4 linked regions of the Oryctolagus cuniculus genome follow. The protein of the gene in region 4 purifies or fractionates together with the protein of the main gene of each other region. This does not show direct contact. Links are inferred from orthologs where the notes say so. Each region holds a gene or a part of one and is shown on either strand. Other genes may lie near its edges. The genes, in order: CETN3, CETN2, FKBP5 and USP49.

The links.
Region 1: the proteins of USP49 (region 4) and CETN3 purify together in Homo sapiens (affinity purification with mass spectrometry; 4 studies listed by BioGRID and IntAct, with this or other methods). This does not show direct contact. The link is inferred for Oryctolagus cuniculus from reciprocal best matches to the Homo sapiens genes USP49 and CETN3.
Region 2: the proteins of USP49 (region 4) and CETN2 purify together in Homo sapiens (affinity purification with mass spectrometry; 3 studies listed by BioGRID and IntAct, with this or other methods). This does not show direct contact. The link is inferred for Oryctolagus cuniculus from reciprocal best matches to the Homo sapiens genes USP49 and CETN2.
Region 3: the proteins of USP49 (region 4) and FKBP5 purify together in Homo sapiens (affinity purification with western blotting; 4 studies listed by BioGRID and IntAct, with this or other methods). This does not show direct contact. The link is inferred for Oryctolagus cuniculus from reciprocal best matches to the Homo sapiens genes USP49 and FKBP5.

What each region holds. Positions count from the first base shown.
Region 1 is NC_091445.1:13,135,410-13,143,347, forward strand, and holds the start of CETN3 (centrin-3), read right to left. Parts: upstream 5,040-7,938; 5' UTR 4,897-5,039; coding exon 4,880-4,896; intron 2,349-4,879; coding exon 2,213-2,348; intron 1-2,212. UniProt on the Homo sapiens protein: Plays a fundamental role in microtubule-organizing center structure and function. As a component of the TREX-2 complex, involved in the export of mRNAs to the cytoplasm through the nuclear pores.
Region 2 is NC_091453.1:131,265,315-131,273,025, forward strand, and holds CETN2 (centrin-2), read right to left. Parts: upstream 4,884-7,711; 5' UTR 4,669-4,883; coding exon 4,663-4,668; exon of another isoform or gene 4,306-4,662; intron 4,211-4,305; coding exon 4,052-4,210; intron 3,742-4,051; coding exon 3,613-3,741; intron 2,953-3,612; coding exon 2,815-2,952; intron 2,375-2,814; coding exon 2,285-2,374; 3' UTR 1,765-2,284; downstream 1-1,764. UniProt on the Homo sapiens protein: Plays a fundamental role in microtubule organizing center structure and function. Required for centriole duplication and correct spindle formation. Has a role in regulating cytokinesis and genome stability via cooperation with CALM1 and CCP110.
Region 3 is NC_091436.1:133,765,570-133,773,281, reverse strand, and holds the start of FKBP5 (peptidyl-prolyl cis-trans isomerase FKBP5), read right to left. Parts: upstream 4,049-7,712; 5' UTR 3,884-4,048; intron 1-3,883. UniProt on the Homo sapiens protein: Immunophilin protein with PPIase and co-chaperone activities. Component of unligated steroid receptors heterocomplexes through interaction with heat-shock protein 90 (HSP90).
Region 4 is NC_091436.1:128,001,736-128,009,746, reverse strand, and holds the start of USP49 (ubiquitin carboxyl-terminal hydrolase 49), read right to left. Parts: upstream 4,205-8,011; 5' UTR 4,147-4,204; intron 4,129-4,146; exon of another isoform or gene 3,949-4,128; intron 3,316-3,948; exon of another isoform or gene 2,775-3,315; intron 742-2,774; exon of another isoform or gene 661-741; intron 1-660. UniProt on the Homo sapiens protein: Deubiquitinase that plays a role in several cellular processes including transcriptional regulation, cell cycle progression or innate immunity.

The sequences.
Region 1 (7,938 bases), on a different chromosome or scaffold from region 4:
AGGAGTAGTAGTGGGTATGTAGAAAGGATGGTTGCGGGGAAAGGGGAGGCGGGGCGGGGCGGGGGGGGGGGGTCCCACGTTGTGGCATAACGAGTTAATCCATCGCCTGCAATGCTGGCATCCCACATAGGCACCAGATCAAGTCCCTGCTGCTCCACTTCCCATCTAGCTCCCTGACAATGCATCTAGGAAAGCAGCATAAGATGGTGCAAGTGTTTGGGCCCCTGCACACATGTGGAAGCTCCAGGCTCTTGTCTTTGGCTTGGGCCATCCTGACTGTTGCAGTTATCTGGGGAGTGAACAGTGTATGGAAGATCTCAATCTCAATCTCTCTCTTCCCCACCCCTCTTATGTAACTCTGCCTTGCAAATAAATCAATCAATCTTAAAAAAAAAAAAAAAAAGAAAGAAAGAAAGAAAGAAAGCATGGCTGGTGTTAAAAGACACTGAAACAAAGAATAGGGTTGGGGAACAGTGAACAGAGCAGTCTCACCTGAATGGGAAGAGTTCAGATGGAGTGAAGCAGTTAGCAAATGAGAAAAGCAGATGATACAGAAGGCATTCAACAGAAAGCAAGTAAATCTGAACTTTATGGGCAATGAGCAATCAGTAAAGTTTTATGAGCACTGAACAATATGTTGAGTTTGAGAATGATCTAAATCTAAGGATAGGGTACAATGTGAACTAGAAGTGAAGGAACCACTCAGGAGGCTCCAGGAACGAAGTATAGCCCCACACAAATCAAGACACCAATGGCAACAAATGGCAGAGACACTATAATGGAAGAATTGCTCAAATGAGTAATTTCTTTAAAATGTGAGAAAAGAGAGGACTGCAAGACTAAGGAAGTTGCACTTAACACACCTAGTATTGCTTTCACACGTACATCCCAACCTGTCATTACATATGTCTTACCCCACCTGAAATCCTTTAAAATCCCTTACAAAGTTACCAGAAATAAAGCCGCAAAACGAACATTGATAGTTATTCACCTACCCATTAAGGCTACTAAAAATCTCAAAAGTGCTGTTTTTCAAATTGTGCTGAATGTAAAAACCACACAACCTTAAATACCAATTTCCCCTTAGATCTTTAATAAATAATACTTCTTTCAAAAAAATTTATATTTGAAAGACAGAGTTACAGAGAGAGAGGGACAGGCAGATCTTTCATCCTGGGTTCATTCCCCAGATGGTCACAGTGACCAGGGCTGGGCTAGGCCAGGAGCCTGGAATTCCATCTATGTCTCCCATATAGGTGCAGGGTCCCAAGTACTCGGGCCACCTTCCACTGTTTTCCCAAGTGTCTTAGCAAGGAGCTAAATCAGAAGTAGAGCAGCTAGCTGGGACTCCAACTGGCACACATGTAAGATGCTGGTGTCTCACCACAACTAATTTTAAGCCTTGAATTTGACATCTTTCTCCATTAGCACGTGTTCAACATCAAACAACTTATTATGCATGCACTACAGAAAGTAGGTTGAGATTGTGTTACTAACATGTTTAAATTAAAAGCTTAAAAACCCACTCTCCCAGTATGAAAAAAAAAAGCATGAGTTACCAAAATCTAAATAAAACCAACAGGAAGAATGATAATGATAAGAGCTGCTTAAATTCCATAGCTTCCAATCCATTACTTTTGTGAATGAAAAATAACCATCTTTCATAGGAATGTATTTTTACATTTAAAATATCATTCACTTTACCATGCAAAAACGTTTTCATACAACTGCATTAGGGGTTCTGTTTTACTATAGCACCTAACTACGAATGCTTAAAAAGATTTCATAGTTCCAAAACCAGTTCAGTTACAATAATTATATAGAAATGTATTTTGGCCGGCACCGCGGCTCAATAGGCTAATCCTCCACCTGCGGCGCCGGCACACGGGGTTCTAGTCCTGATCGCTCCTCTTCCGGTCCAGCTCTCTGCTATGGCCCAGGAGGGCAGTGGAGGATGGCCCAAGTCCTTGGACCCTGCACCCCATGGGAGACCAGGATAAGCAAATGGCTCCTGCCATCGGATCAGCGCGGTGCGCCGGCCGCAGCGGCCATTGGGGGGTGAACCAAAGGAAAAGGAAGACCTTTCTCTCTGTCTCTGTCTCTCACTGTCCACTCTGCCTGTCAAAAAAATAAAATAAATAAAATAAATGTATTTTAAAGCTGTCAAAAATGCAAATCACTTTAACAGATAAATATATACTTTATACTTTACCTTTAGTTCATGATAATCTATTGCATCATCTTTGTCTGTATCAAAAAGTTCAAAGGCATCTTTAATTTCTTGTTTCTGTTCCTCAGAGAGCTCTCTTCTTTTTTTTCTCTTTGTTTTGTCTACTACAAGCTCACTTCTATAAAATGGAAACAAAAAAGTCATTAGTCCACTCTAATCGTATTCTCTTATGCAAACTAAACAATCAACAACTTTCTAAATTTCCAAAAAGGAAATATGTTGAAGAAAGATAAAGTATTTTTTCTGTATGAGTTGACATCCTGCTTGTTCCATAGTCCACAGTTCTATGAATGTACACTTCCCAGTATGAAGCCGAAACTCTGACAGAAATGGGGAACAAGGGCCACTGTCACAATGCAATGGATTAAGCCACCACCTGCCACACTGGCATCGCACATGAGTGCCAGTTCAGGTCCCAGCTGCTTCACTTCCAATCAGCTCTCTGCTAATGCACCTGGGAAGGCAGACAACTATGGCATGGCTCAAGTGGTTGGTTCAATCACCCAAATGGGAGACCTGAATGGAGTTCTTGGCTACTAGCTTCAGCCTGGCCCAGCCTCAGCCATAGCGGCCATTCAGAGATGGAAGATTTCTCTGACTTTGTCTCTGTCACTCTTTCATATACGTTTCAAAAAAAGGGGGGGGGGGGGGAACCAAACCTTCCCTCCTCCCAACTCAGAAACAAGAATGGTCAGAGGAGGCTGGCACTATGGCGCAGTAGGTTAATCCTCCACCTGTGGTGCGAACATCCCTTATGGGCACTGGTTCTAGTCCCAGCTGCTCCTCTTCCAATCCAGCTCTCTGCTGTGGCCTGGGAAAGCAGTAAAAGATGGCCCAAGTCCTTGGGCCCCTGTACCCACATGGGAGACCAGGAAGAAGCACCAGACTCCTGGCTTCAGATCAGCACAGCTCCAGCCGTTGCGGCCACTGGGGAGTGAACCAACAGACGGAAGATCTTTGTCTCTCCTTCTCACTGTCTATAATTCTACCTCTCAAATAAATAAATAAAAAACCTTAAAAAAAAAGAATGGTCAGAAATATTACTTTCAGACCAAAAACCTCAATCAAAACCAAATCAACACTTATATCATTCTGCAAAAGTGGAAAAAAATCCAAATCAAAGTAGAATTCATAATTGACAATCAACATAAATATTTATTATACTTCAGTATATTTCTTGTAATTAAGTTTTCAAGATTACTACAAAAAAGTGCCAAATAATTTATCAATTAACCTATATTTTGGCATTGTAAGTTCAAAACTATTTTGGATCACATCTAGGTACTTTGTTTGTAGTTTCTTCCATCAATATTAACATGTCAGCCAACAAAGCAGTGAGTCTAAATATATCATGAATGTTAAAAGATCAAAAAGTGGTATGTAGCATTTGTGCTTACTTCCAAAAAATGTGAAAATTCTTGTCTCATTTAACTTATAAACTATAGGTCAAACTTCTCATAACTCTGGAAAAGAGTAAAGAAAATGAAAAGCAAAATTATTTGGAAGTTAGGAATGTCTTCCATCTGAGACAGATGTAGAAGTGCTTCAGAGTTTCAAATGAGAACACCAATTCTGTAAGAACACGTTTTAAAAATTCTAAATGTAAAACCAGTTGATTGTCTCATAACAGATCATCTTATTTGCATGTGAAAGCCATGGGGGGGGGCGGGCAGCATCGTGGCCCAGCAGGTAGGGCTGCCTCTCAGGTCCAAGGAACACAAACCCTGAGTCCCAGCTGCTCCCCGGGAAGGCAGCGGAAGATGGCCCCAAAGCTTGAGCCCCTGCCACCCAGGAGGGTGGCATGTTCAGGTGAACTGCCATGTTCAGGGCTCCTGGCTCCCCCCTGTGCCAACCCCAACCATGGACGCCCTTTGAGGACTGAACCAGCGGATCCAAGATCTCTTTCCCTGTCTCTTTCTGTCACTCACTCTGCCTTTCAAATAAATAAATCTTTAAAAAAAAAAAAAAAACAAACAAACAAAAAACTTATTTTGGTTTCTGAAATCTTAAGGGGGAAAAAAAGGCAATAGGGATGGCTACCAAATGACAGCAGGTGCAGTACGTCAGAGCTGAGGAAGACCTTCCCCAAGAGACCCGAGTGGACACACACCTGGGCACAGCCGGGGTCAGCCATTCCCCTGCCCGGACTGCCCGCGGGCAAGTCCGGACCCCGCCCACACCTGACCGCAGCCAGGGCCACCCGTGGCGGAACACAGTCTCTGAGCACCTGCCTTCAAGGCTATCTGACACGGGGGGTGGGGTGGGGCACAGACCGAGGGCTAGGGTCGGGACAGAAGACACCGACTCCGGGCGGGTCTCCGATTCGGCGGGGCCGGGGGCACACGGGCGAGCGACTCCGTGGGCAGCGGTGCGGGGGCCAGGTGGGCGGGGTCGCAGCACCGCACGCCCGCGGCCCACCCCCCTAGGCCGAAAGCCCCGTGCGCGGCCACAGGCGACCACCTCGGCAGCGAGCGCCGGGCCGGTCACCTGCAGGGCTCTGCACTCCCGGGGGGCTGGGGGCTGGCAGGCCGGCGAGCCCCCTCCTCACCTCGGCCCCAACGGCCTCCCTTCCACACCCACACACGCACGCGAGCACGCCCGGGGCCCGCTCCGCGGCGTGGGGAGCGCGGCCGCCTCACGACTACCGACCTCAGAGCTAAACTCATTTTCCTCCCCGGACAGACACGTTCCTCTCAGAGACTTTATGCCCTGGCCCGAAGCAGCAGGACTCCCACAAGCCGTTCAACAGACGCGAACGGCCGCTGCCACCACCAGCCCCGCCCAGAAGACAGACACTTCTGAGCGGGATTGGTCGAAACCCGCTAAGGTTGTGCCCCGCTCGGCACTACGCCCTATTTTCATTGGATGGCTTTAGCGTCAGTCAAAGGAGCGTTTGTGCCCGCCTCTCCCGTGCCCTCCGGCCCCTTAGATTGGCCAGCTGCTTTTTCCCCGAATCCTTTGCGGGCCGGCGTGTGGACAGCTCCCAGGTAGGGAATGGCGGGGAGGAGACCGGTGCAGGTGCTCTCAGAGACGTGAGCTTAATTTTTGCGGCCAACCCAACCCTCAGCATCCTACGCAGGCTCACTTGCGACCGAGTTTATGCACGTCATTCATTGTGTCCCCAGTGGCTGGCTGCAGTTGATGTTCCTTTGGGTCCTAGATGTTAGCAAAACGTTTGGTGTCCTCTTAACGACACAGTTCGCTATCATTAAATAGAGTGTGTTTATGAAGAATTCAACATATAAATCTATTAAATAATCATAATGCTAGATAACCGAGATGATCTCAAGGACAAAATATCCCTTACTCATTCTAAGATACATATTAATAAAGCAGGTATGGACAGTGCTTTTTTTTTTTTTTTTTTTTTTTTTTTTACCATGCTGAATAACACACTTAGAATGGAACATTAGGGTTTCTCAACCTTGATCCCCGGAACACTAGAGTTTTGTGAGATGCTTATGGTCATTTCATAGAGAATGACACTGTGGACAAGTAATTTGGGAAAATGTGTTTTTACTTGTTAAGGTCAAATGTCGTCAGTGCCATACCCTGTTAAGGGAATGATAGGGAAGTCACACGCATCACTTCTCTTCACATTTAAGCCGTGGAAACTAGTGACATGGCCACTACTTGCTTGCTGTAAGGGAGGCTGAGAAGAGCTCTCTAGTTTGGATGCCATGTTCCCTGATAAAACATGAGGTCATACCATCTGTTACTAAACATAAAATGGGATTAGCAAGTCTGCCACAGAAACCATTAAAATGGTTATCAATATTATCCTTGAAATTCTCATGAATGATGCAATAAAACAAGGGGAAGAAGTGCCACATGAAATTAACATTGTGTATGAATTATATAACACCTGGAAAATCCAAGAATACCAAAGAAGCTATTGGAATTGATAAAAAGAATTCAGTAAGTAGCTGATCATCACATTTGAGAGAACAATGATTATAAGATATAATAATAGCAAAATGGATTTCACAGAAATAATTTGCACAGGAAATCTATAGAATCAGATATGGACTGCTTCTAAAAGTTGAGATGACCTCTGGCCAACAGCTAGAAAGGAAATGGGGCGGGGGGGCAGCACTGTGGTGAAGTGGGTTAAAGCCTTGGCCTGAAGCGCCGACATCCCATATGGGCACCGGTTGAAGTCCCGGCTGCCCCTCTCCCAGTCCAGCTCTCTGCTACGGCCTGGGAAAGCAGTAGAAGATGGCCCAAATCCTTGGGCCCCTGCACCCACATGGGAGACCGGAAGAAGATCCTGGCTCCTGGCTTCGGATCAGCACAGCTTCGGCTGTTGAGGTCATCTGGGGAATGAACCATCGGATGGAAGACCCTTCTTTCTGTCTCTACCTCTCTCTGTAACTCTGTCTTCAAATAAATAAAAGAAATCTTAAAAAAAAAAAAAAAAAAAAAAACATAGTATGCAAGTGTTGTTTTAAGGCACTAAAATTATAGTAATTAGTTATAGCAATGATAGAAAATTAATACACCTCCTAAATCAATGAAAAAAGAAAAATGAGAGATTTAAAATAAATTGATGGAGTAGGCCTAGAGGGAAGAAAAGCTGAATGGATTCCAACCAATAGACAGAAATGGATAAAGAGAACTTAAATATGTTCAGTGAGTTGATAAAGAAATATTTCTTCACTGTAAAAGAAAAACTAATGTAACTAGAAATTCTTTTTAAAAATAAAGGTTAGTAAGAATACCATGGCTTTAAAATGACATAAACTAAAATAATGCATTATCAGGCTGTAGTCAGTGCTATAGCCCACCCGCCTTCCTGTCTTCAGAACCAAAGAACCTATTCCCCCAGCTTCCAGAAATTTGGGCAGCTGAAAACACCCAGCTCAGTTCCTCCTGGTAAATTGCCCTTTCCCAAAAGTAGGTGCCTTCAGCCAGATTACAAAGTCTCCCTGGAGGCAGAATTTATCCAAAGACAGGCCAATATGAAAGGGAAGAGCCTGGCTTCCTGGCCTCAATCCAGGTGAACTCTGAGGGGAAGGGCTTCTCCAACATCATGGCGCCCTGTAGAGCTGGCTGAGGCCTCTGCTTTGACTGCATCACAGCGCCCCTGTTCCCTCTGCCCAGTTCTGCCTCTGTCAGTCCCCACAGGTCTTGTTTCTGAGACGCTGCCCCAGTAAACCCCAGTTATGCAGATCTCACAGTCACTTCCTTAAAGAACTCAACCTAAGACATAGTTAATACAATATATTTTTTAAAAACAGGAAACAAAAAAAAAAAGCAAGACAAATGTATTGTCTCAGCACAGTTATACAGCCCAATGTTTTTAAAAGTAAAATAGAAAATTTATTTTTAAAGAACATGAGTGGAGGCAGGTGCTGTGGCGTAACGGGTAAAGGAAGAGGAGCAGCTGGGACTAGAACTGGCACTGACCCCAACCACCACCATTTCTCATACTACCTATCTTTCAGCACTCTTCCTTTGCTATAGTATATCTTTAGCAAATTCAGAAATGGTATAGGAAAGGTGAACTGACTGCGGTCCCTGTGTTTTCACAGTCGAAATGAAAAGAGGAGAAGGTGGCTACTGTCCTTCTGTACTAAATTTAGTATACCTTGTTCACGAATTCTGTTAATGCAAAATTAAAGAAATTCTATTGGACAACACTCAGTCCACTTGGAAATTAAAGTGAGACTTTCATATTTTGAATCAAAATATATTTAACTTAAAGG
Region 2 (7,711 bases), on a different chromosome or scaffold from region 4:
GGCTCCTGGCTTCGGATCAGCGCAGCGTGCCAGCCATAGCACCCCAGCTGTGGTGGCCATTTGGGCGTGAACCAACAGAAAAAGGAAGCCCTTTCTCTCTGTCTCTCTCTCTCTAATCTTCCTGTCAAAAAAAAAAAAGAAAAGAAAAAATAAATATTTCCAAAGGAGTTAATTAGCTCCATTTAGTATTCCACAATATACACATATTGCAAAACATCATGTTGAACACAGTAAATATATACAATTTTTACTTGTCAATTAAAACTTTTTTAAAAAATGCTTTTCAGGGCTACTGTTTACAGTAAAATGGGAGGCAGGGCCAATCTTGTCCTTCATTTCCAATACTGCATGTCTTTTATCAGCTCATGTGCCTGTTAGTAGAAAACAGCAACAGGACATCTTTCCAACACCTCATTTTTTTAAAGATTTATTTTATTTATTTCAAAGACAGAGTTACAGAGAGAGGTAGAGACAGAAAGGTTTTCTATCCGCTGGTTCACTCCCCAGGTGGCTACAATGGCAGGAGCTGTGCTGATCCAAAGCCAGGAGCTTCTTCCAGGTCTCCCACGTGGGTGCAGGGGCCCAAGGACTTGGGCCATCTCCCACTGCTTTCCCAGGCCACAGCAGAGAGCTGGATTGGAAGTGGAGCAGCCGGGTCTCAAACCGGCACCCATATGGGATGCTGGCACTTCAGGCCAGGGCATTAACCCACTGCACCACAGCGCCATCCCCACAACACCTCATTCTTCAACATCCACCATAAAGCCAGGTCCTGAAGTTTCTATTACAGCCCAGCAATTCTGAGTCAAGCAACTCTGTTCTCTCCATTGCATCTAGAGTAACTGGCTCCAAAGTGCTGGCCAGGAGGTGCTAAAGGTCATGAAAAACCCAGGTATGAGACCAGTTTGGGTTCCTTCCCCTCAGTATTTCTCAAAAAGCAGTCCCTCTGCATGAGATATGTCTGCGCAACACAGTAAAGCCCGCACCCCTGGGTGCCTGAGGCCTCCAAGAGGCCAGGGTGTGGGGATGCTCCCCAGGTGGAGTTGGCAGTTCAAATACATACAGAATGCCCTGGTGAACTGGAATTTCAGATCAACAATGAGTAAACAACACAAAGTGCAAAAGAGATACACTTACACTAAAAAAAGTACTATTCATAAATTCAAATGTACCCAGGTGTTCTCATTCTATTAGTTAAATCAGGCAACCCTATCTCCAGGGGGCTAAGATGCCCCCAGAAGTTTAAAAGCCCTTTCCCACCCTCTCTACATGTGGATAACTGAGCATCCCATTTTCCATTCCCATTCTTGCTACCTACCTGGAGCAGAGGCTTTAATGCCATCCACCAGGGCTTCTCTTGCAGGAATCCTGTGAGAGGCCAAGAGGGCAACTGTCAGGACACTCAGCTCAACCCAACTTCAAGGGACAATGGACACTGCAAGCAATTAAACTCACCAGAGATTAGCTGCATCTGGCCTGTCACAGCAAACTGGCTCTCCTCAACAAGATTCTTTTTTCCAGACTTATACTTTGTCAAAACTCTTTGCAGGGCATCATTTAAGCTTAGGCGAAATGGAAAGTCTATGAGTTTTACAAACTCATGGATTTCCAAAGCAAGAAACAATCCATACCAGGAAATTAGCAAAGGACTATTCTGGTTTTATCCAAAAGGTTGTAAGTTTTGTATGTACCAAGCTGCCTTCAATGATACCTTAGAAGATGAACTCACAGTCAAGGATAAAGAACTCATCCTTAAACAAAAGCTCAGACTAAGAAAGGTTTTATTTTTAAGACAAAACAAATAGCATTAACATACATCCAAATGCCAATGCAAGAGTTCACTGGGTTTTATAAAATAGAAGATTACACTCTGGTATCAACTAGAAACTAGAACCACTGAAAAACGACCAGTGCTTCTGGTGACATGGGTACAACATGTGCTTGTCTAAGAAGTCGTTCAGTGTGCATCTCTGTGACATATATGACAAGAGCGAAGCAATGCAAGGCAAATGGAAGGTGGGCAATGCTTTAAGACCCTTTTCTCCGCTCCAATGTGCTCTTATTCTGCTTTGGAGAACTCAAGTAATCAGCAGGTCATTTTACAAAGAGATTGAGTATCAAAGAACACTTTAAAAGTCTGAAATAGATTAGAGGCCATAACTAAAATTATGTAGGGAGGTCAGTGCAGGAGAAAATAGTTTGTGTTCTCAAAAGCCAGATTTTACACAATGGCAGGCACTAAATCTAGTTAGGTGTGCTTGCAGTAGAAAAGACGACATGGATCTTAGTAAAGGCTGGTCTTTTTCATGATGCGCAGGAACTCTTGCTCATTGACTTCTCCATCTCCATCTCGATCAGCTTCATCAATCATTTCCTGCATGACAGTAAAGATTCAGAGAACATTAATTCATAAAATAAACAAAAAGGTGACTACATCATAGGCTTTAACATTGCTATTTGAATAGACAATTGTAGTCTACTCGATACATTATAATAACTTGGCTCTTGAAGAGTCATTGGAAAACCAAGTCATATTTTGTCATACATGTCACCTGGAAGGAAGTTCGAAGGACTTGACCAGAAGGACTCCCAAAACCTAAAACAGTAAATAAAACTGTACACACATGCATTTTTCTGGAAGCAGGGTCATAGGATTGTCAGACTATCAAAGGAAAGTTACGTTGTTAGCAAAGGGGCCAAAGAACAGTATCTTTCATTCAAAGAGGTTTTCCCACCAGGGAAAAATCAAAAGCAGAGAAGTCTCAGAGGGCTCAACGGTGGGAATTCACCGTTCCAGCCTCACACATGACAAACCTGTAGCTCCTCATCTGTCAGGTTCTCGCCCAACTCCTTGGCCACGCGTTTCAGATTTTTGAATGATATCTTTCCAGTTTCATCATCATCGAAGAGCTTGAAAGCTTTCAGAATTTCTTCTTTGGTATCTTTCTCAGACTTAACAAGTAGAACATAAAATGCATTATCAGGAAAACACCATGGTTACCCGTGTTCCATAGCCCCACCACTGCCCATTCCCCCCCCCCCCATTTACAACAATACAAGCCAAGAAGACAAAGAACAGAATTAGAGGCAGCTGCTGAGACACCTAGTGAACCTGACACTGCACATTGGCATGCTAAGCCCTGGTATTTTGCTGTGTTCTCCTGTTCAGAGTTTGCTCTAGTTCAAATGCCAAGGAGGGACTTCCAGGGGAATCAACTTCTTAGATTCATTCCCTAACCCTCCACCTTGCATTTAAAAATGAATGGTGTCTACAGTTTTTCTATTTGGGTTTATCACAGATATATCAGTTGGAAAAACAGTGAAAAATGACACTTTTGCTACTTTACAAAGGGTGAAATGACTTCATTAGTTTGTGACCTTGAAGAAAGCCAAAGAGAATTTAGGCTAATTCTCAGTCAAAAATACTATCTTTTATCAGATGAATTCTCCAATCTTTGTCAATTTTTCTCCAATTAGGTCATTTTCACATCTAGACTAGATAGATAGACTTTATCACTATTTTAAAATTATTTTTGCATTTACTCTAGATAGATAGACATTATCTATCACTATGAGTAAAAAACATGCTAATGGTTATCTCAGCTAACTTACCATTTTCTGAGTCATCACAGTCAAAAAGTCACTAAAGTTCATTTTTCCAGTGCCTTCCTTATCAATTTCACTTATCATTTTCTTGATTTCTTCTTTCTTGGGTTCAAACCCCAGGGCTCTCATTGCCACCTGTAAGGAAACAGGAATGTCTCAATATGCATATCTGAATCTAGCAGGAGCAAATATAAGTGTTGAGAATATTAAGCCAACATCTACCATAATAATGGTAAAATGACTACAGAATAAACATTGATGTAACTGACCTTTGTTGTCAATTTTATTTAGTAACACTTGGCATAATAAAAGACAGGAAAAGAGAGCACAAAAATCCCAGCCCTGTTAGTTTTTACAGGAAGGAGAGGGCAAAAGGGGTAGAGTTGTGACAGAGAAAGGGTAAGGAAGAAGCAGAGGTAGTATAGCAAGAACGTGCAGGGCTTACCTTAAGTTCTTTAACATCTATGGTCCCAGTTCCATCAGCATCAAAGAGATCAAAAGCTTCCCTGATTTCTTGTTTCTGCTCTTCAGTAAGCTCAGGCTTAGGACTCATCCTTTTCCGCTGGGAACTAGATGTTATGTTTCCCTTCTTAAAGTTAGAGGCCTGTAGAAATTATACGAACACATGAGCACACTATTATGTAATACAGTCCATAGTTACAGACACTGCTATCTCTTTTAAAACTAATTTATACCAACCAATTCCCAATTTCTGCTCAACAAGAGATAATGGGGTTTATTGGAAAGAATGAAACTTCCCGTGAAGCGCTCTCCCTCCCTTTTCTTTAGTAGTATTTGTTAGAAGCAAAGAGATCCCTTGTTCTTCGGATACATCACTCCGAGGCAGTTAGCTAAGGAAGTGACTGTAGATAACTCGAAGTGAGTACTGCCCTCCCTGAACGCGGGGATCCTGGCTCCAAAAACAACCCCTCGCGGTACTAGGCTTCCCAAGAGGTACTCTGACTTTCCGATTACTTCTGGATTTGGCCAAAGATTATTAAGTTGTTTAGATAAGTGTTCTGTCCATATCAAATAGTAAAACAATCTATTTGGCACCTTCATGCCCTCCCCAAGATGCTCAAAGCATCTCCGGAATGCCCATATTTAAATTGTAAAATACAAGTTAACAATCAGAACATAACAAAGCTCCTCCCAGGTGGGGGAAGTTTGGCAGAGAGAGGAGGCCAAGATCTGAAAGGGCCAGGATCTGAGAGGGGTTGGGCCCTCTTCTTTGCCTAGGAAGTCCCCGAGGCGGGTAGAGAAAGCCAGGGGGACCCGAGGGACGGGTAAGGGCCCGCTGTGCATGACGGGGAGGCTAGGGCGAAGCGCAGGCCCAGCGGGGTGGCTGGCGTGTCTACCCTTCCGGGAAAGAGCTCAAAGGAAGGATCAGTGCACTAAAGGTGAGCAAGAGAGTCAGTGTGGTGTGGCGGGGCCGCAGCCCTGAGAAGGACTCAGTCCCTGGGTGCAAGGCCGGACTGGGGAGCCAGCACTCACCATAGCCGACGCACTCCGCTGCCCGTTGTTACGGCAACCTACGTACACACCGACTCGGCGCCATTCCCACCGCCCCGCGCGCGCGGCCCAGCTCCCTGTTGGCTGCCGGCTCACCTCCAGCGCTCCCCATTGGTCTACGTCTGGAGTGGGTAGGGCTAACCTCACAAAGCCCGGGCCCAGGCGGGGGGCGGTGCGCTGGGAGGGTGAGACCTGCTCTCATTGGACAACATCACGCTGAGAGCTCCGACTGGCTGAGCCGACTCTAGGCCCGGCCAATCCGCTAGGTAGAAGGAGCTCGGCTGATTCTCAGCTCACACAGGCGGGGAAAAAAGGGTGGCCTTCCTAGGCTGGAGCTCGGTCCTTGTCGGCGGCGGGCTAGCTGAGATCAACCGGGGGACATTTACGGACCGAAGGGTAAGAGTCGCCACGTAGGCTTCGGAAGCCGCTTTGTATCGGCGACAGGGCAGGGCGGGCGAGCGAAGGACTAGGCGGGGCGGTCTGAGTGGCAGTGGTTTTCTGGTCTGGCCTAAGACTGAGTTAGGAACAAGGGCATCAGGAAGATCCCAGGACCTTCGTGTGGGAGCTGGGACTGTACTTACTCACAGGATAGCTGAGACCCTGACAGGGGAAGGGGCGTGCTGAGTGTCGTCGCAGAGGGTTTGACATCTGGCACGTAGACTGGTTGTTTGAGAGAATACAGCAGGTTCCAGGAGCAGCCCGGTACAGTGAGTCGGAGACCTTGACAATGGGTGTTGAACGACGTGAAGGAGGTTCCTCCTCATGCTTGTCTCAAAATACACTCTTTTTGACACAGACTCTCAAGGCAGTCAGGGAGGAGAACTCCAGGCCGAGACACCCTTGTGAGCAAAGTCACGGGAATTGTGGAAGAAGATCTCCAGGGGAGCATGAGTAATGGTAAGGGCTGACTTGAAACTGCAAAAGGACTGGAGTCTGCCCTCCTTAGACAGCTCCACGGGTCTCAGCTGCACCTACTCATGCGGCATTGAGGCGGTTATCTGGGGAGGCAGAGGACAGAGCAGAGGTTTCTCTGGCTTCAAAAGGCCTGAGGCATCCTAGCACATCTTAAGAGGAGTGTCTACTCTTTGCCCTCTTCCTCTTTACAGCAGTGAACTGGGTTCAAAACTTTGTGTTCATGTTTAACTTTCCCTGCCCTCTCCCCTGTATCTAGTCTCTTAAGTTCTATCAGTTCTGCCCATTAAATGCCATTTCTTTTCTCTTTTCCACCTGTATTCCTTTCTCAATTCTAGCATTCATCATCCACCTCCCAGCCAGTATGAGCCAGAGTTCCCACCATGGTCTGCTAACCTTGGTTCAACCTCCAAACTGCTCTCCTCCTCTGCCCTGGCTCACTGCGGTCCCCTTCTCTCCCCAGGACACTGGCTTCTTTGTTGGGCCTCAAATGCCAGGCACATTCCTGCGTTGAACTTTTATACCTACTTTATCTTCTTCCTGCTGGTCTTGTATCATTCACCCTTCCATGTCTTTGCTCAGCTTTCTTAGGCTACTCAAAGCACCTTGGTTAGTACTATACTCCCAGTATACATCTTCCCCATAGTACTTGTCGCTCTGTACTTATTTACTTCGTTCTTTGTTGCCCGTTCTCTAGAGAGCAGGCTTTCCAAGGGCACACTTCATTGTTTTGTTCACTGCTGGTGCTTCAGTGCCTGCATCAGACATGGAGTACACTGTAGGCAGTTTGGATGACTGATGAGAAGGCCCCTGCACCCCCAGGTTAAAAGCTGCCATGAATAGCTCTAGTCGGATCTACCCCTGCTCTTAAATCTTCAGAGGCTACTCATAACTGCAGAGTAAAACTCAGAACCTTCAGCTGGCCATATGAATCTCCTGCCCAGCTCAGCCCCTGCTAACCTTTTTAGCTTCATGTCGTTTCACACCATGCTTCCCAGTCAGTCTGTGGGGTGGCAATTTAACAAAGTAGAAGGGACAAACACAAGCTCTGTCCAGGCTGTGTGACCTTCGATGAGTCACTTGACCTCTCTGAGCCTCAATTTTTCATCTGTTGAATGAAATCAGAACTGTCTAACTGGATGCTTTTTGGATCTTAATGAGATAATGTTCTCCTGCATAAAAGGGTCTGACATTTAGTAGGTCTGTAGGCAATGTGAGTTCTTTTCTCAGATTTGCCCCCTACCTAGCATGCCTGAAGCCTTCAGCTTAGCTAGAATCCCTTGTCCACACTGCAGCCAAAACAACCTTTCTGATCATAGTACTTACCCCTGCCTACCACTTCCAGTGGCACATGGTCACTGCATGTTCTGAACTTTGCTCCAAATCTTGCATCACACTCAATGTGACACACTTTGTTACAGTTAGCAGAGCATGCTGGCTTGTGCCATCACCTTGCCCTTCCCACCCCTGGCTATGGAATGTCTAGGTTGCCTACACCCTCTTTAGCTCCTGGAAGGCCTCCGGTACTCACCTGACTCAGCAGTTACAGAGTTGCATAAGTGAGTCTCCCTGTCTCCTGCCCTGCACAGTGAGTCTCCGTAAGTGTAGGCACTCCTCTCTTCCAGGCAGGGGCCCCCAACCTTAGTGGGCCAAGATGGGAGTGAGAAAAAGCATCATGCAG
Region 3 (7,712 bases), about 5.8 Mb from region 4:
GGCCCAGGTTCTTGGGCCCTGCACCCCATGGGAGACCAGGAAAAGCACCTGGATCCTGGCTCCTGCCATCGGATCAGCGCGGTGCGCCGGCTGCAGCGGCGGCCATTGGAGGGTGAACCAACGGCAAAGGAAGATCTTTCTCTCTCTGTCTCTCTCTCTCACTGTCCACTCTGCCTATCAAAAAAATAAAAAAATAAAAAAAAATAAAAAAATAAATCATATAATTATTGATTTAAAACAGTAGTGACCTAAGTGTGATTTAATTTGCAAATGAAACTTTTATTTACCTTGTAAAAAATCAGCCAAATGAGGCAGGTTAAAAGAATTTATAGTAGGACTATATGTATTAACAAGTTACTGTGGCCAGCGCTTTTGGGCAGTAGGTTAACACCCGGGCCTGAAGCGCCAGCATCCCATATGGGCGGTGGTTCAAGACCCGGCTGCTCCACTTCCCATCCAGCTCTCTGCTATGGCCTGGGAAAGCAGTGGAAGATGGCCCAAGGACTTGCACCCTCATGGGAGACCCAGAGGAAGCTCCTGGCTCCTGGCTTTGGATCGGCGCAGCTCTGGCCATTGCGGCCAATTGGGGGTGAACCAGTGGATGGAAGACCTCCCTCTCTCTCTGTGCCTCTCCTCTCTCTGTGTAACTCTGACTTTCAAATAAATAAATAAATAAATCTTTTTTAAAAAAGTTACTAACAGGTTGTAATTATCAGCACTTAAAATAATTGTGTGTGTATGTGTGTGTAACTCTGCCTTTCAAATAAATAAAGTAAATCTTAAAAAATAAAAATGACATCAGGGGCACCTGGGTTCAGTATCTAGTCCTGACTTCTGGCTGCACCTTCCTGATAATGAAGATCCTAAGAGGCAGCATTTCTGGCTCAAGTGATTGGGTTTCTGACACCCAAATGAGAGACCTGGACTGAGCTCTGGGCTCCCTGCTTCACTAAGGTCTGGTCCGGCCTGGCCCAGCCCAGGCCGTTGTGGGCATTTGGAGAGTGAGCCAGCAAACGGAAACTCTCATTCTCTCTCAAATAAATATACTAACATTTTTAATGTGTTAAAATTGTTTCAGATGAAAATGTGATTTTAAAAAATAAGTACAATATAGATTCTTCCTTAGGAATTGTGAAAAAGTATATTAAAAGCTTATGGAGGACATTCCTAATAGCAGGTACAAAATGCATGTTTCTATTAAATAAAGCAGTATTGATGTTTGTAACAGTGTTTTTCAATCTGTCTTTTGGATTTAGCTAAAGTCCTTGTTTTTTTGTGAAGTTATTCACTTAAAAATATTTACCACTCGCACCACCAGCCCCCAATCAAAAGGAGCCGTACCTGAGGGTAACTGCTTAAAAAAAAAAAAAAAACCTGCCAGTGTTTATTGTGAGAATTCAGCTTGTGCTTAATTTTGAAGATAAAATGTGCTTGATAAATTAAAGTGAACAAAATTCAGTAGTTAAAATATGCAAAAACTGAATTTTAAAATAGGTTTTAATTTTAAGGTACGTTCATAATTAAAGTACCTAAAATATACTTTTGTGGAAACAAACTTACGAGACATAACTTGACGATATTTGGCATATTAAAGCACCATCACAGGATAAGGACAATCAACGCTCTAACAGCACAGCACTTAAATGTATTCCTTTACACTAAAGAGCAATTAAATAAATAACGAGAGACAATGAAAGCCCAAGTGTCATAAAGTCCTTTATAACTTTGTAAAGGCAAAACCCATTCTATGTGAGGACAAGCCACTGTTCTTTCTACCCTTCCTAAGCATCCGAAAGCCAGCTCAGCTTGTACAGCAATAACTTCTGCGGGTGTACAAAGAGGATGTTCTTCTCCGGACTAATCCATTCTAAGTAGAGAAGCCTGCAGGAAACTAAAAAGCCTGAAACATGGATTCTTTTTCCAATTCAAGAGTAAACAGAAAATTAAAGACTTAATTAGTTGCCTAATTCATTAAGTTTTTCATGTTGAACTGATAACAATTGTTTTAAAAAAAAGAAATGCACTCAAATTTCCCATAAATAAAAAAAGTTAAAGATTCCAAAAAACATACCTGTTTTACAAAATGCTGGAAAGACAAAGCCCTTACAACATACGTGGGAAGTTCAAAAAGTTCACGGAAAAGTGGAATTAAAAGATGAATTTATTTCAGTACAAAACATTCTGAAATCCAGACACAGTTTCTTCATAATATGCATTTCTGTGAACTTTTAAAGACCCCCGTTATCTAAGTTTATTGCTTCAGAGAAATAAAACAATTTATAAAGATCATCTTTATTTTTTTTTTACACTGAAGTAGTCACAACTTTGGCTGAAGAGTTCTGACCTCTTATTAACTGTTACATAATTCTAATTAGCAAGGTAAATAAGCAAATTAAATCAAAGTTAATAACGCTGCTCCTAGGCAGTCAAACATATCCACTATGTGCATCAAACAAGACGCTTTAAAACATAAAAACCGAGCACACCAGATCCCGTGTGTCTCACAAGTGACCTAATTTTAGAAATACAATTGTATAGCATGCCCAGGTTGGTCAGGGCTAAGTGTGGCGGGTTAGGCAGGGGTCGGGAGGCAGACACACAAACGGAAACGCTAAGGGAAAGTACGACAGGACAAAAAGCTCCCACCAGGGTAAGGCCTTTTTTCAGGTCGACCCTTGGAGTTTGACTCCCATCCCGAGAGAGGCAGCTCCTCTGACTCTCTAAAGCAAAGACCCCCAACGCGGGGGCAGGGGGGCTGCAAACCCCTACCCCGAATCCGCCCTAACTCTTCCCGGGTCCCCCATCGAACAAGGCGGGGAGACAATGAAAGCAAACAGTCCAGGTCAGAGAGCGAAGAAAGCTCCCATTCAGAGCTACGCCTCACTCCCCTGGAAAGCACAGCCCAGAAAGCGAATCCAAAACCACGGACTGCACGGCGGCCCGCGGAGGGCAGCGGGGCTCTGCGCGCTCCCCTTCCAGGCTGTACCTGCCCGAGCCGTCGCCGCCGCCGCCGAAGCCGCCCCGCACAGGGCGGCTGCGCCCGGAGCAGGCAGCCTGCAGCGCCCGGGTCCTGCACGCGGCTTCTGCAAGCCGTCCGGGGCGCACGCCTCCCGGGACGGCCGGCAAGGCGGGCGGACGGAGCCGCAAGCGTCCCAGGACCCACCCCGGCCGCAACTCTCGGCCCGCACCGCAGAGTGCGGGTCACCTGTGAGCGCGGCGCGGCGCCCGCACCCCGCCGAGGGGCCGTGCGGCTCCCAGGCACGAGCGCCAGGGCGGCAGGTGACGGCGGGGCACGCCCGCGTCCACACCCAGCGGGCGGCCACCCCGCGCGCGGCCGGGGCGCTCCGTTATCCTCGCCCTCCGCGGGCCCGCCAGGTGAGCGAGTCTCCATCGCGCCCGCGGCGTCCTGGCGCTCGTCTCAGCCCCGGGCTCCAGGCCTCCGGCCGCCCCGGTCCCGGAAGGCCAAGTTGCGCTCCGGCCCGCGGCTGCGGCTGCTCGGGCGCCGCCCGGCTTCTCCGAGGGTCCCGCAGCGCCGGGCCTCGGGCGAGTCCGGGTCCGCCGACGACAGCCGGAGCCGGGACCTGTCACCCCGGGCGGGAAACAAAAGCCGAGTGAGGGCGAGCGGGCGCGACCGGGAGGGGGAGCGCGGCGCGGGCGGAGAGCGGCTCCCGCGGCCCCCCGGAGGGAGCCTCGGCCCGGCGGCCCCCGCAGTCGGGCTGGGAGCCCCCCGGGCGCTCACCTCGTGGACTTGCAGCCCCTCGCGCCACTCCCTCCCGGGCTGGGGAGCCGCGTGAGGGGCAGCGGCAGAACCTGAAAAGAGAGAATTGGGCTCTCGGGACCCCGCGGCCGCCCCACCTCATCCCTGCGGCCATGGCGCCGGTACCTGTCTCCACAGTGCCTGGCCAGCTCCTGCTCTCTCCGCCTCGCCCGCGCGCCGCTCGCCCCTCAGCCCGCCCAGCAGGCAGCCCGCGCGCCGGACACCGCAGTCCGAGACTGGCAGCGCCCGCGAGCCGGCCCGAATCCCCAGGGCAGCGCCCGGCATGGTCCCGCCCCCGCCGGCCGCAGGACCCCCCTTCCATAGGGCCCCGGGGCTGTCAGTCCGCCCCCAAAAGGCGCGCGGGCTGTCGCTCCGCGTGTCCGGATTGGTGGCCGCGCGCGGTCCATGCAAATAAGGCCCCGCCCACGTTTATTTGCATCTCCGCCCCCCCACACTAGCCCACGTGTCTGGCCCTTGCCCTTTGTGGGGGCTGGAGAAAATGGATGGAGGAAGCTGACCGACACCCCCTCACATCAGCCCTTCCCTCCACAGAAACTAACGCCCAAGCAAGATCGTTGACCCCACTGCCGTACCGTGTCTGTCTGTCCTGCGGGCCTGGTCTGTGGCGGGAGAGGGGTCAGGTCGGGCTGTTTGCGTTAGATTAGCAGTCCAGGTTAGCTCCAGGACACTAACTCGGGAAGCTAGAGATGCTAGGTCGGACCCGAGAACATCCCGCCTCAAGAACCAGGTGAGCACGCGGCACCTCCCTTGGATACCCAGGGACCGTGAGAACCCTGCGGCCCCCACGCTGTCCCCCCCCGGGGGGGGGGGTGCAGGGGCGGCGGGGGGCCTTAGGGAATCTTTAGCTCAGCCCCATCATTTTTGAAGAAACAGAAACCTGAAGTCTCAAACTGGGGACCTATGGGACATGATAGTTGCCTATGGTAATCTGATGTCCCCTAATCAGATTAGAACCCGTGTCTCCTGGCTTTGCACACTGTCACACTGAAGTCTTTGTAAAAGGCCCTTCCCATAAACCAGTCACCATGCTGCCTGGTGCTTCAAGATTTGGAGGTGGGTAGAAAGTTGGTGGCATTTGGCGGAGAGGTTAAGGCACCAGGTCCCCCAGGAGTGGTAGGATCCATACCTGGCAAGGGCTTCCCTCCCAATTCCAGCTTCCTGCTAATACAGACCTTGGGAGGCAGCAGCAATGATGGCTTAAGGGGTTGGGTCCTCGACACTCACCTGGAAGACCTACTTTCAGTTCCTGGTCCAGGAATGTACTGGCTTGCTCTCTCTTTCTCTCCCTGCCTCCCTCCCTCTCCAATAAATAGAAATAAAAAGTGATATCTGTAGAAAAGGCAAATAGAGTCAACCCTGAGACCTCCTCAAGGATCCTTATCTCAGTCATTGGTCCTCAGTGTCTAGAAGCGTCTCTTTTTTGCCAGGGAGAGTCACTGAAACCATTTATTCATGCATTAATTCAGATAGTGTCGATCAAAACTACTCTGCATATTAACACTGATTCAGCAGGCATCTACCATGCTTAAAAAACAGCAAGTATTCAGCACCATGCTATGTGCTGGCTATGCAGCAGTGAGGAGGAATTGCCTCAGCTCCAAGAACTTCACTTTAGGACACAGGGACATCACGTTGAACATCTGAGTGTTCTTCACCCGGCAGGGGCTGAGATGGGATCTGCACAGGGCAGCGTGGAGGGCTCCCGGGAAGGAGGGGTCCCAGGATTCTTTTCCTGGGAGAGGCAGAGGATTCATTGAAGGGGTGACACAAAACCTGGCTCTTGCCAAAGAGAGGGGTGTAGACAGGGAAGGAAAGGGAGTCCCAGCAGGGAGCATGTGTGTGTTGAGGGGGCAGGGGTAGCATGAGCAAAAAAGCGCACAGACCTGGGAAAGCCCAGTGGGCAAAGGCAGGGCGAGGAGCAGTGGGCAGGTCTGCAGGGCCGTGTGGACAGGTCACATGCTCCGGGACCGGGCTCTTCCAGGAGGAAGACAGAAAGGCCGGTGAGGCTGCCAGGCTATGTTGTAACACACCGCGGCAAATAACAACAGGCCCTGTAGATACAGCTGCAGCCTTTTTTTTTTTCCCTCTAGGCCAGAGTCTGTGGGGAACACTCAGTTCCATAGTTCAGATAGCAGCCTGGGTGGCTGCACCCACTCCCCCAGAAAACCACTCTGGTCACCAGGCTTGCCCAGGATCCTTTGCATTTGGAAACATGTTGCTTGCCTTTCAACTAAACCTCGCTCCCCTTCAGAACTCAAGGCCGCAGACACCTGGCGGGTGTGGGTGGGGGGTGGGGGAGGAGGTGGTGTAGCCCTTTCCTAATGCATGGAGCCAATCTGTGCAGGGCCTGTCACTGAGGCTTGGTGTCATGGGTGTGTCACAAGGGCCCAAAATTTAGAAAGGACCTGTGCTCGGATTAATGCTGTTATTGATCTCTAGAAATTCTTAGTAATTTTTTTAACCAAGGGCCTTGCATTTTCATTTTGCACTGAGTCCTGCAAATTTTGTACCTGGTTGTGCCTGTCACCATCAGTGTGCCTGGGCCTGCTTGTCCTGCTGCTCAAACCACATCTCATTTTTAAAGCACTTGGCATGCACTAGGCCGGTTCGCCTGCCTGTGTCGCTGGATTCTCACAGTGGCAACGCGGGGAAGGTCAGTATGCCTTTCTGTTCTCATTATTCGAGAACACTGAAGTTTGGCAACTGTTTCCAGGTGGCACTAGAAAAGGGCAGCACTTGGACCTGAACTCAGCCCACAGAGCCCCATTGCATTGCTGTGGAGCTGTCTCCACTTTGGTTTCTGGTCCTTTCAAAGGCAGCTTTGTACATGCAGGATTCGCTAAGATCAGAACAGGTGGTGGGGTGGACATCTGTCCTTTCATGGCCACCTAGCACCTTTTGAGTAGCTTTTCATCAGTTTTGAACCATTTTCAGCCATTACGTATTCAAATACTACTTCTGTCCCTTTTCGTCTTCCTGAGCTCCACTGAAACACGTGTTAGAACACGTCCTTCCTTTCTTTTGTGTCTTCCTTCGTTTGTCCTTCCATGCTTTGTTCTAATGAGTTTCTTCTGTTTTTTTCAGTTCACTAGAATTCTCTTTTCAGCTTAAAAAAATCTTTTGAACTCATCCATTGAGTTCCATTTGGTTAGTCTGGTTTTTAGTTCTAGAATTTCCATGTGTCTTTCTTAGATCTGTGATGCTGCTTCCTGTGTCTCTGTACCCTGCCCTAGCTTCCAAGCTTGCTCTTCTCTTCTTAGACACAGTCACTATACTTGCTTTACGGTCTGTTTCTGATCATCCCAATCTGGGGTTGGCTTCCATTGTTGGTTTTACCACTGGTTCTTCCTCATGTCTTGGCTCATTTATCTGATTATGCTTTGGACGCTGTATTTGAAAAAGTCATTGGAGCTGCTCAAATCATTTGAGATTGTGTTTTGGAGATCGTATTTGAAAAATCATTGGATGATAATGTCTTCCTCTGTAAAAAACTCCATTTGCTTCCGCCAGACATCTGGAGGCGTTACCAGCCTGGGATCACCTTAACTCAGTTTTAGGGCTCCAGATTTTCTGATCCACCCAGACGACTTGAAGCCGGCTATCGTCTGCGGGATGGTTTATTTCTTCATGTTTCCCCTTTACTCAATGGTGTACTCTTTGAGGTCCCAAAGATTGAGTTCTTTCAGTAATATATTGTTCCATGGCAAACTATCCCAAAATCTAGTGGCTTAAAATAGATGCCAGCAGACTTGTTCTTAAAGGGTCAGGCAGTATTTTTAGGCTTATAAGGCAAAGCAGCCATAGACAGTACATAAACAAGTGGCATGGCTGTGTTCCAATAAAACTTTATTTACAAAAACAAGCAGCCATCCCAACCTGATAAAGTGCATCTACAAGAAACCCACAGCTAACGTCACACTTAATGGTAAAAGAC
Region 4 (8,011 bases):
GCTTCCAGCTAAAGCGTATCCTGGGAGACAAGAAGGTATTTTGGTCCCTGTCACTCACATGTCACCCATATGCCACCCACAAGGAAGACCTGGATTGAGTTCTCGGCTCCTAGTTTTGACCTGGCTCAGCTCAAGCAGTTGAAGGCATTTGGGGGAGTGAAACAGCTGTTGGAAGATCTCTCTCTGTTTCAGTTTCTCTGTCCATCAAATAAATAAAAATTTAAAAATTAAAGAAATGTCTGAGTATAACCTTGAGCAAATCACTTAATCTCAGGAACGCTGTATTTCACTACATGTAAAACAGGGATAGTAACAGTACCTTCCTCAGAGGACTGCTGTGAGGAGTAAATGATTTACAGTTTACGAAGTGTTTCATCAGTGTCTCAAACAGAACACAAGCATTACACGTGGATTAGCCATTATTATCAAGCTTATGAAGACCTAATGTCTTACCAATACCATAGCAAGCAGATATTTTCTTTACTCAAAAATTGAGAATGGGGAAAGATAAGAAATACAGATAGAGCATTATGTGTCTGCAAGTGGACGGAAGACAGACTCTCCAGAGAGACCATCATCAAGTGCTGAGAAAGATTATCTACAAAGGCTGCCACAACACTGCTGAAGATTTATAGGAAAACAGGATAAACTTTTATCTACCTGGATGATTTAAGTAAGATATTGACTGAAGTTGCAGGATAAACTAGAGGTTCTGTCAAGATCTCTTTCCATCCAAAGACCCTACGATTAACCAGAAAAATATTGAATTACGTACAACCTACCCATCCAAACCTGAAAAGATAAACTAAAAGCCCTTTGCTTTGCACATAAGATTTTAGACAAGATAAATTGGGTAGAATTTTACTTGATCAATAAATGAGAACAAAGCTTGAGTTTGTCATTAGAGTCTTTACTGAGAAATAGTATTATCAGAATGAAAAAAATCCATTTTTGGTTTTAGAAATACCAGTTGAGAACTAACCATTCACAACTAGAATCAGTGGTTCAGCACATATTGGTTCCATACAGGAAAAAAAAGGCAGGACCCATTCTATATTAGTTGACCTTATATTTTCTTCCTTTCCATTATCAAATAATTTATATAAAGATACTAGATTAAAAACAATTCCATTATTTAAAATGGCAGTACCATACATGCATAATACAACCTAGTACTAGTGTCAGACCAAACACATCTACAACAGGAGGGAATATGCATACACATTTCACAGAAACAGGTGTTTCATATCAAAGTTACTTTTCATCTTGAAAGTTAACATTTTCAGATTAATCCTCTTAAAACTTAGCAGCAAAACTAGTAATTTTTTAAAAGTCCCTGTTAAATTTCCAAATCAATCTGGTCACCTTGAACACATATTTAACAGAATCCATGAAACAAACCATGAACTAAATACTATGCCATGTACAGAGTCAGCAGCTGAATCCAGAAAGAGTTATGATTCTAAATTATTCACAAAAATCAATAACCAATGTTTGATATCCACAAATCAAAACCCAATTTTTGCTAACTGTGCTGCAAAGCTAACTTAGCTATGTATACAAGCACCCACAAAACAGTAAAATTTACACAACTCTGATGAAAAAAAGTATGTGTGTGCTTCTGAATATAAACTAATGAAATACTCCAAATAAGATTCAAGAGCAGTACATTTTTATCCTAAGTAAATTATGTGCTATCCTTTGTTTCCACCAAATGCAAAGTAATATTTTCAGCTAAATGTAAAAGCTTCAGAATAAAAATCACTAAAACTAAATACCAAGTAAGAATAACCTAAATTTTGCCCAAATTTCTTATCTTCCTTTTAATTTCCAAGTGTCCTAAATACCAAACGCTTTTAGAAAAATTAATAGTAATTAATACATCCTTCTTTATTTACAACCATAAAACAAGGGGGCAGTGGAGCTGTCCAAGCCTCCACTCGGACAAGGCTTGCAATCTTACAGGGAATTTTCTTCATAAAAATTTCTCATAAACTCATTGTTTAACCTAGGAGATAAGTCCATCACTCTAAAATTCCCCACCAATCCATGATTCTCCCTCTCATCATTCCATTTTGCTAATTCTACTATGGTATGAGACGTCCCACACAAAGCTAAAGGCAGCTTAGGAGCTCAATACCCTCACAGCCCTGATTTAAATCTCTCTCCCAGTAAACTTCCCTGGTTGGTTATTTGCCTTTCTCTAAAATGAGTTTTCAATATTCTCCAGCCACTGAAAACAACTCAGCAGAAAGCTGGTTGATTAATCGAAACAAAACAGATTCTCATCTTTCTCCATCCCAACAGCAGTATGTTCTCCATGGAAGATGAAAATGCTGTCGATAAAGCACTCAGCCCAAGCGCCTGTCAGGTACAATGCTGCTAAAATGCCAAAACTATCACACTACACAGGCGCCCTGTAAATAAACACAGCCCGTTCTCCTATTATGACAACACTGGTGAAATGCAGAGGTTTTCAACACCCCAGGCTCATGCCTGATCATTCACACAGGAACGAAATCAAATCAAAATGGGTCTCATGTTTTCAAAGTGGACGTGAAAGTCGAATCAAAAGCAATTAAAGGTGGAAGCGGATCTAAGATTCCTTGAAGAGAGAAAGAGGTTTCTGGAATTTCCTACTTTTAGGGACAAAAGGACTCACAGTTTCAACACACAGTTCCCAACAAAGAATTCCTTTCCTGCATCCCTCCCACCCCCGCCTCCGCCCTTACTTTTTAGCGTTCACCCCTGCCTCTAGGTCCCCTTTCACTCACCATGGTTCCTCCTCTTCTGCACAGGGGCTCCCTACACTGGGTCCCTCACGCCAGCCTTCCGGCCCTGACCCTCGCACGCCTTCTGGAGCCTCTCCCTGCCACACGCACGTTCGATTCCCGCCCTGCGCGCTCTACTCGAGTTCGACATCCATCAGGACTCCCCCAGTGTCCCTTCACCCGGTTCTCCGCCTCACTCCCCCACCTCATCCTCTACACGCGGGGGCCCATCTCACCCTGCCCCTCTCGCCGACTGCGTGTAGCCCTCTCCCCACCTGTTTTTTTTTTTTGTTTTTTGTTTTTTGTTTTTTTTTTTTACCGTGGATCCCGGGGAAGCTTTTCCATTAGCGTAATTCCCCAGTTACCCTGGTCCCAGACCGCCATCACTTCTTACACCTTTACTCTGTCGGCTTTTCTGGTCCCGGAATTGTCTTACAAAAACCCCATCTCTCATCAGCCTCTCGCCCTTCCACTAGGCTCTTACTCCTGCCCCTACCTGGTTCCAGTCCAGGGTCTCATTCGCCCTCCCTCACTTTCCAGAATGTACGCCCACTGCCCACCTCCTAACCCATACCTTTCTCAGACCCTCGCCAGCGGTCCCCAGCCCACCGCCGGTCCTTCAGCTCATCTCGCTCTGCACTAGTTCACACCCTTGTCACGTCTGGCTCTTAATCACTCTCTCTCTCCCTACTCCAACTACTGCTAACCCGGGGCTGCCCCTCCTTGTCTTTCGCTTCCAACTCCCACCCCAGCACCCCTCACCTCGATACACCCCCGCGCTTCCACCTAACCCCGGAGCCCGCCGCCCAGCCCGGATCTTCCTAACCCTGCCCGGGCTTCCCCGACGCCCACCCTGCTGTGTGCCTCCTGGGCTGGCTTTTCCTCACTCCTGCTCTCCCTGGCTTCTAACCCTTTCTCCCCTTAATCCTCATCTCATTCTTAGCCCGGTTCCCCTCAGAAGCACCCAAGCCTCCCCTCCGCTCTTGCCTCAAGGCTTGTACCCCAAACCCAATCGTAGCCCACCCCGCCAAAACGAAGGGCCCGCACGCCCCTACTCCCGCCCTCGCCTCCCGCCGGCCCCCGCCCCGGGCGCCCCCGGCCCGCCGGCGCCGCGGTCCCGCCCCCTGCCGCCACTCCTCCCGCCCGCGAGGCGCGCACCGCCTTTGTCGCCCCTCACCCGGTGTGTGAGGATTTTGCTTCTTTAAAGGGGAGGGCTGGAGTGCCGGAGCCTCCTGTCCCCGCCTCCGCGTGTTAGAATGGGCTCCCAGGCCGTCGCGGCCTCCCCGTCCCCGTCCCCGTCCCCCACCCCCCGGAGCTACCCCCTCCGCTGCCTGCCCACCGCCTCCGCCCCCTCGCCGGGCCCCCCTCTATTTACCGCCATCATCAGCACGCGCGAGCTGTCACCAGGGCGCGAGACAACCGAACGCGGTCCCGCCCCCTGCCCGCCCATTGGCCCGCCCGCCGGAGCCCCGCCCCTCGAGCCCCGCATTGCGCCAACGGCGCAGCGCTGGGCCCAGACCCCGGCACCGAGACTCTCCAGGAGGGTTCGCGCCCTGGGCGCAAAGTTTAGGGTCAGCCACAAACGCGCGGCCGGCAGGAGCCTGGCGTAAGGGACGGCGGCGTAGACCGGCGTTGTGAATCGCGGGACGAAGTTTGGTTGAAGCACAGGAGGGTAAATAAGAAGGTTTCCAGACAAAGAGACTCTTAAAGGTACAGAGTCTTATGTCCGCCCCTCCTCCTTAAAGGGCCAGACCCCCGAGACCATCTCCGCCCCCTTTTCCCCTGCCCGTCATTCCGGGGTACAGTACGGGAGTTTTACACGTACCTTTCGTGGCCCACCTTTAACATCTCTCCATACTGTGAAGGGGCAACGCCTTCCTCACTACCCTGTTTTTGTTTTGTTCTGGGAAAATACTTGCTCTTTTTTTTAACGCTGTCGTTCCCAAAGAATCAGCCAACGGCACTGGGAGGCTTCCTAAGATAGCGTTTGTGAGTTACTATTGGCTCCCGGGCGGGCGAGCACGTGTCGGACTTATGCCACTGATGACCCAGGCGGGATTCAGCTGTTTTATGGAAATCCCTCTGAGGACTAGGACTTCGCCGGTGAACTAAAAAAGTTCAGCAGATCAGGGGCTTGGGAAATAAACCAGACTGAGTTGGGAGTGGTCCCTAAGGACTTCTAGGGGACTGGGGATGGAGACGGCACAGCAGCTCTTTCTACAAAAGGCTCCCTTCCTGGTCAGTCTGTGGCATAAATTGCGGGGTACAGTGTAACACCAACACTGTTGTAACCAGACACATGGGAAGGCAAGTGAACATAAAAGGACAAGTGAAAGAAACATACATGATCAGCTCCAGTCGCTCAAGGCTACCATATGTAAGTATGACAGGGAAGCACCAAAGTCAAAGAACAACAAAGGTGGGAGGAAACCGCAGCGGCTGGGGCCAAGTTAACAGTGAAAGGACTTCTGAGGGCAAAGAGGTCTGCCTGAAGGGGAGAATGTGGAGTGGTTTGGTTTCCTTTGGTCAGGATTTGTCCTGTGGTTCAAGAGCTCAGAGTACTCCCTTTGTTGTCTTACAACCATTCAAAGTTCTTACTTTGTAACTCCTGAATTGTCTACTTGCCAACCTCTGAGAAAATTCTTGAAGAAGAGATTGTATCAAGGTGCTTTGTTCGGTGAAGAATTTTGCTGGCAGAAAAGTCATTCAAGGGGAACAAATTCTCAGTGCTTTGAGCATGTTTTTAGATCAGTGGTTCTCAAAAGTGTGGCTTGGGAAGGGAGCCCTGAGGATAACCGAGACCCTTTAAGGCAGCCACTGCGATCAAAACTATTCTCTCTGTGATGACATTTGCATGATGGTAAAAAAGTAACGGTAAAGTTGCTTCTACCTTAGCACAAATCAAGGCAATGATATAAAACGTACTGACACTGTAAAAACATATATGTTTCACTTAAGAAGGTCTGTGAAACTATATATTTCTTTAAACATTTATTTATTTATTTGAAAGGCAGAGTTACAGAGAGGCAGAGGCGGAGACAGAGAGAGAGGTCTTCCATCTGCTGGTTTACTCCCCAAATGGCCACAATATCCGGAGCTGGATCTGAAGCCCGGAGCTTCTTCTGGGTTTCCCACGCAGGTGCAGGGGCCCAAGGACCTGGGCACCTTCTGCTTTCCCAGGCCATAGCAGAGATCTGGATCGGAAGTGGAGCAGTTGGAACTCGAACTGGTGCCCGTATAGGATGCTGGAACTGCAGGCAGTGGCTTTAACTGCTACACCACAGTGCCAGCCCCAGTGTATATATTTTTAATAATACCACTCTCTCTGATCAAATGGATGGATGTATGCATGAAGCACTTCTGGGTATGATGTTTGCTTTGAGAAAAAATACATGTGTAATTTTTTTGAGTTCTGAGCTGAGTGAACAGCTTTCGTTATGGAACACCATTTTTACTTGGAACAACAGCTAACGGGTAACCTAGAGTTATTCACCAAGTATTTGGAAGACATTTTCTGCAAAGTCAGCAACGTTCAGCTTGACACCATTCTTGGCAAAGGTAAGACTCAGGCCGGAGCCGTGGTGTAATATTAAGCCTCTGCCTGTGGTGCTGGCTTCCATATGGTCACTGGTTCAAGTCCCAGTCGCTCCACTTCCAATCCAGCTCTCTGCTAATGTACCTGGGAAAGCAGCAGAGGATTGCGATTGCCCAAGGCTCCCGCACCCACGTGGGAGACCTGGAAGAAGCTCCTGGCTCCTCAATTCAGATCAGCTCAACTCTGGCTGTTGTGGCCATTTGGGAGTAAACCAGCAGATGCAAGACCTCTCTGTCTCTGCCTCTCTCTGTAACTGTCTTTCAAATACATAAAATCTTAAAAAAAAAAAAAAAAAAAAAAGGGCTGATAGTTATATTAACAAACAGGATTTGTAAAATATATATAATGAAATGTGTCAACATTCAGGAGATAAGCAGTATTGTTCAAATAACCCTTGCACGATGCTACAAAATCATGCATCAATAAAAGATCCATTCAAAGTATAAAATATTAAGACATTTATTTTGATATAGTTTTATATTCCACATACTGCAACTAATCTCCAGTGGAGTTTTAATGCAGTATCAAAGGCTATCCAAAAGATTATCAATACACTCCTCCCCTTTTCCAAATAATACACATCGATGTGAGGCCAGACTTTTGTTCATATTCTTCAGCCAAAACAACATATTACAAGAGATTGAATGCAAAAGCAGATATCAGAATCCAACCATCTTCTATAATACCAAATATTCAGGATATTTGCAAAATATAAATACCACTCATCACTAAAGTTCATCTAGAAAGTTATTTTTCAATAAAAGTATTTTATGTATGTTAACATGTGATGAGTTTATTGTTATTCCACTGATTCACTCTCCAGATGGCCACAACAGCTGGAGCTGCGCCAATCTGAAGCCAGGAGCCAGGAGCTTCTTCCAGGTCTCCCACATGGGTACAGGGGCCCAAAGACTTGGGCCATCTTCTACTGCTTTCCCAGGCTATAGCAGAGAGCTAGATCAGAAGAAGGGCAGCCGGGACTAGAAATGGCGCCCATATGGGATGCCGGCACTTTAGGCCAGGGCATTAACCCACTGCGCCACAGCGCTGGCCCCACTTTTTATTTTTAAAGATGTATTTATTTATTTGAAAGGCAGAGTGTTAAGAGAGAGAGGAAGAGATAGAGATCTTCTATTTGTTGATTCACTCCCCAAATGGTCACAACAGCCAGGGGCTGGGCCAGACTGAAGCCAGGAATTTGGAACTCCATCTGGGTCTCTTGGTGGCTGAAACCTAAGTTCTTGGGTCATTATCAGCTGCCTTCCCAGGTGCATTAGCAGGAAGGTGGATTGGAAGCAGAGCAGCTGGACTCAAACAGGCACTCTGCTATGAGATGCTAGCATAGCAAGTGGCAGCTTGCTGAGCTACACAACACCTGGCCCTTTCAATGCATCTTAAAAACATCACGAGGTTGTGAGAACAAGTTTGAGAATCATGAGTTACATGGGAATAGAAAGAATAACTACCAAAAAAGGGTGTATTGTAGCTTCAGAGTTAATAATTAGGTGGTTCATCAATGAGGACTGCAAAATAGAATCAGGAATTGCACTTTATTTTTTTTTTAAGTTTTATTTACTTCAAAGACAGAGTTATAGAGAGATCTTCCACCTGCTGGTTCACTCCCCAAACGGCCACAACAGCCTGG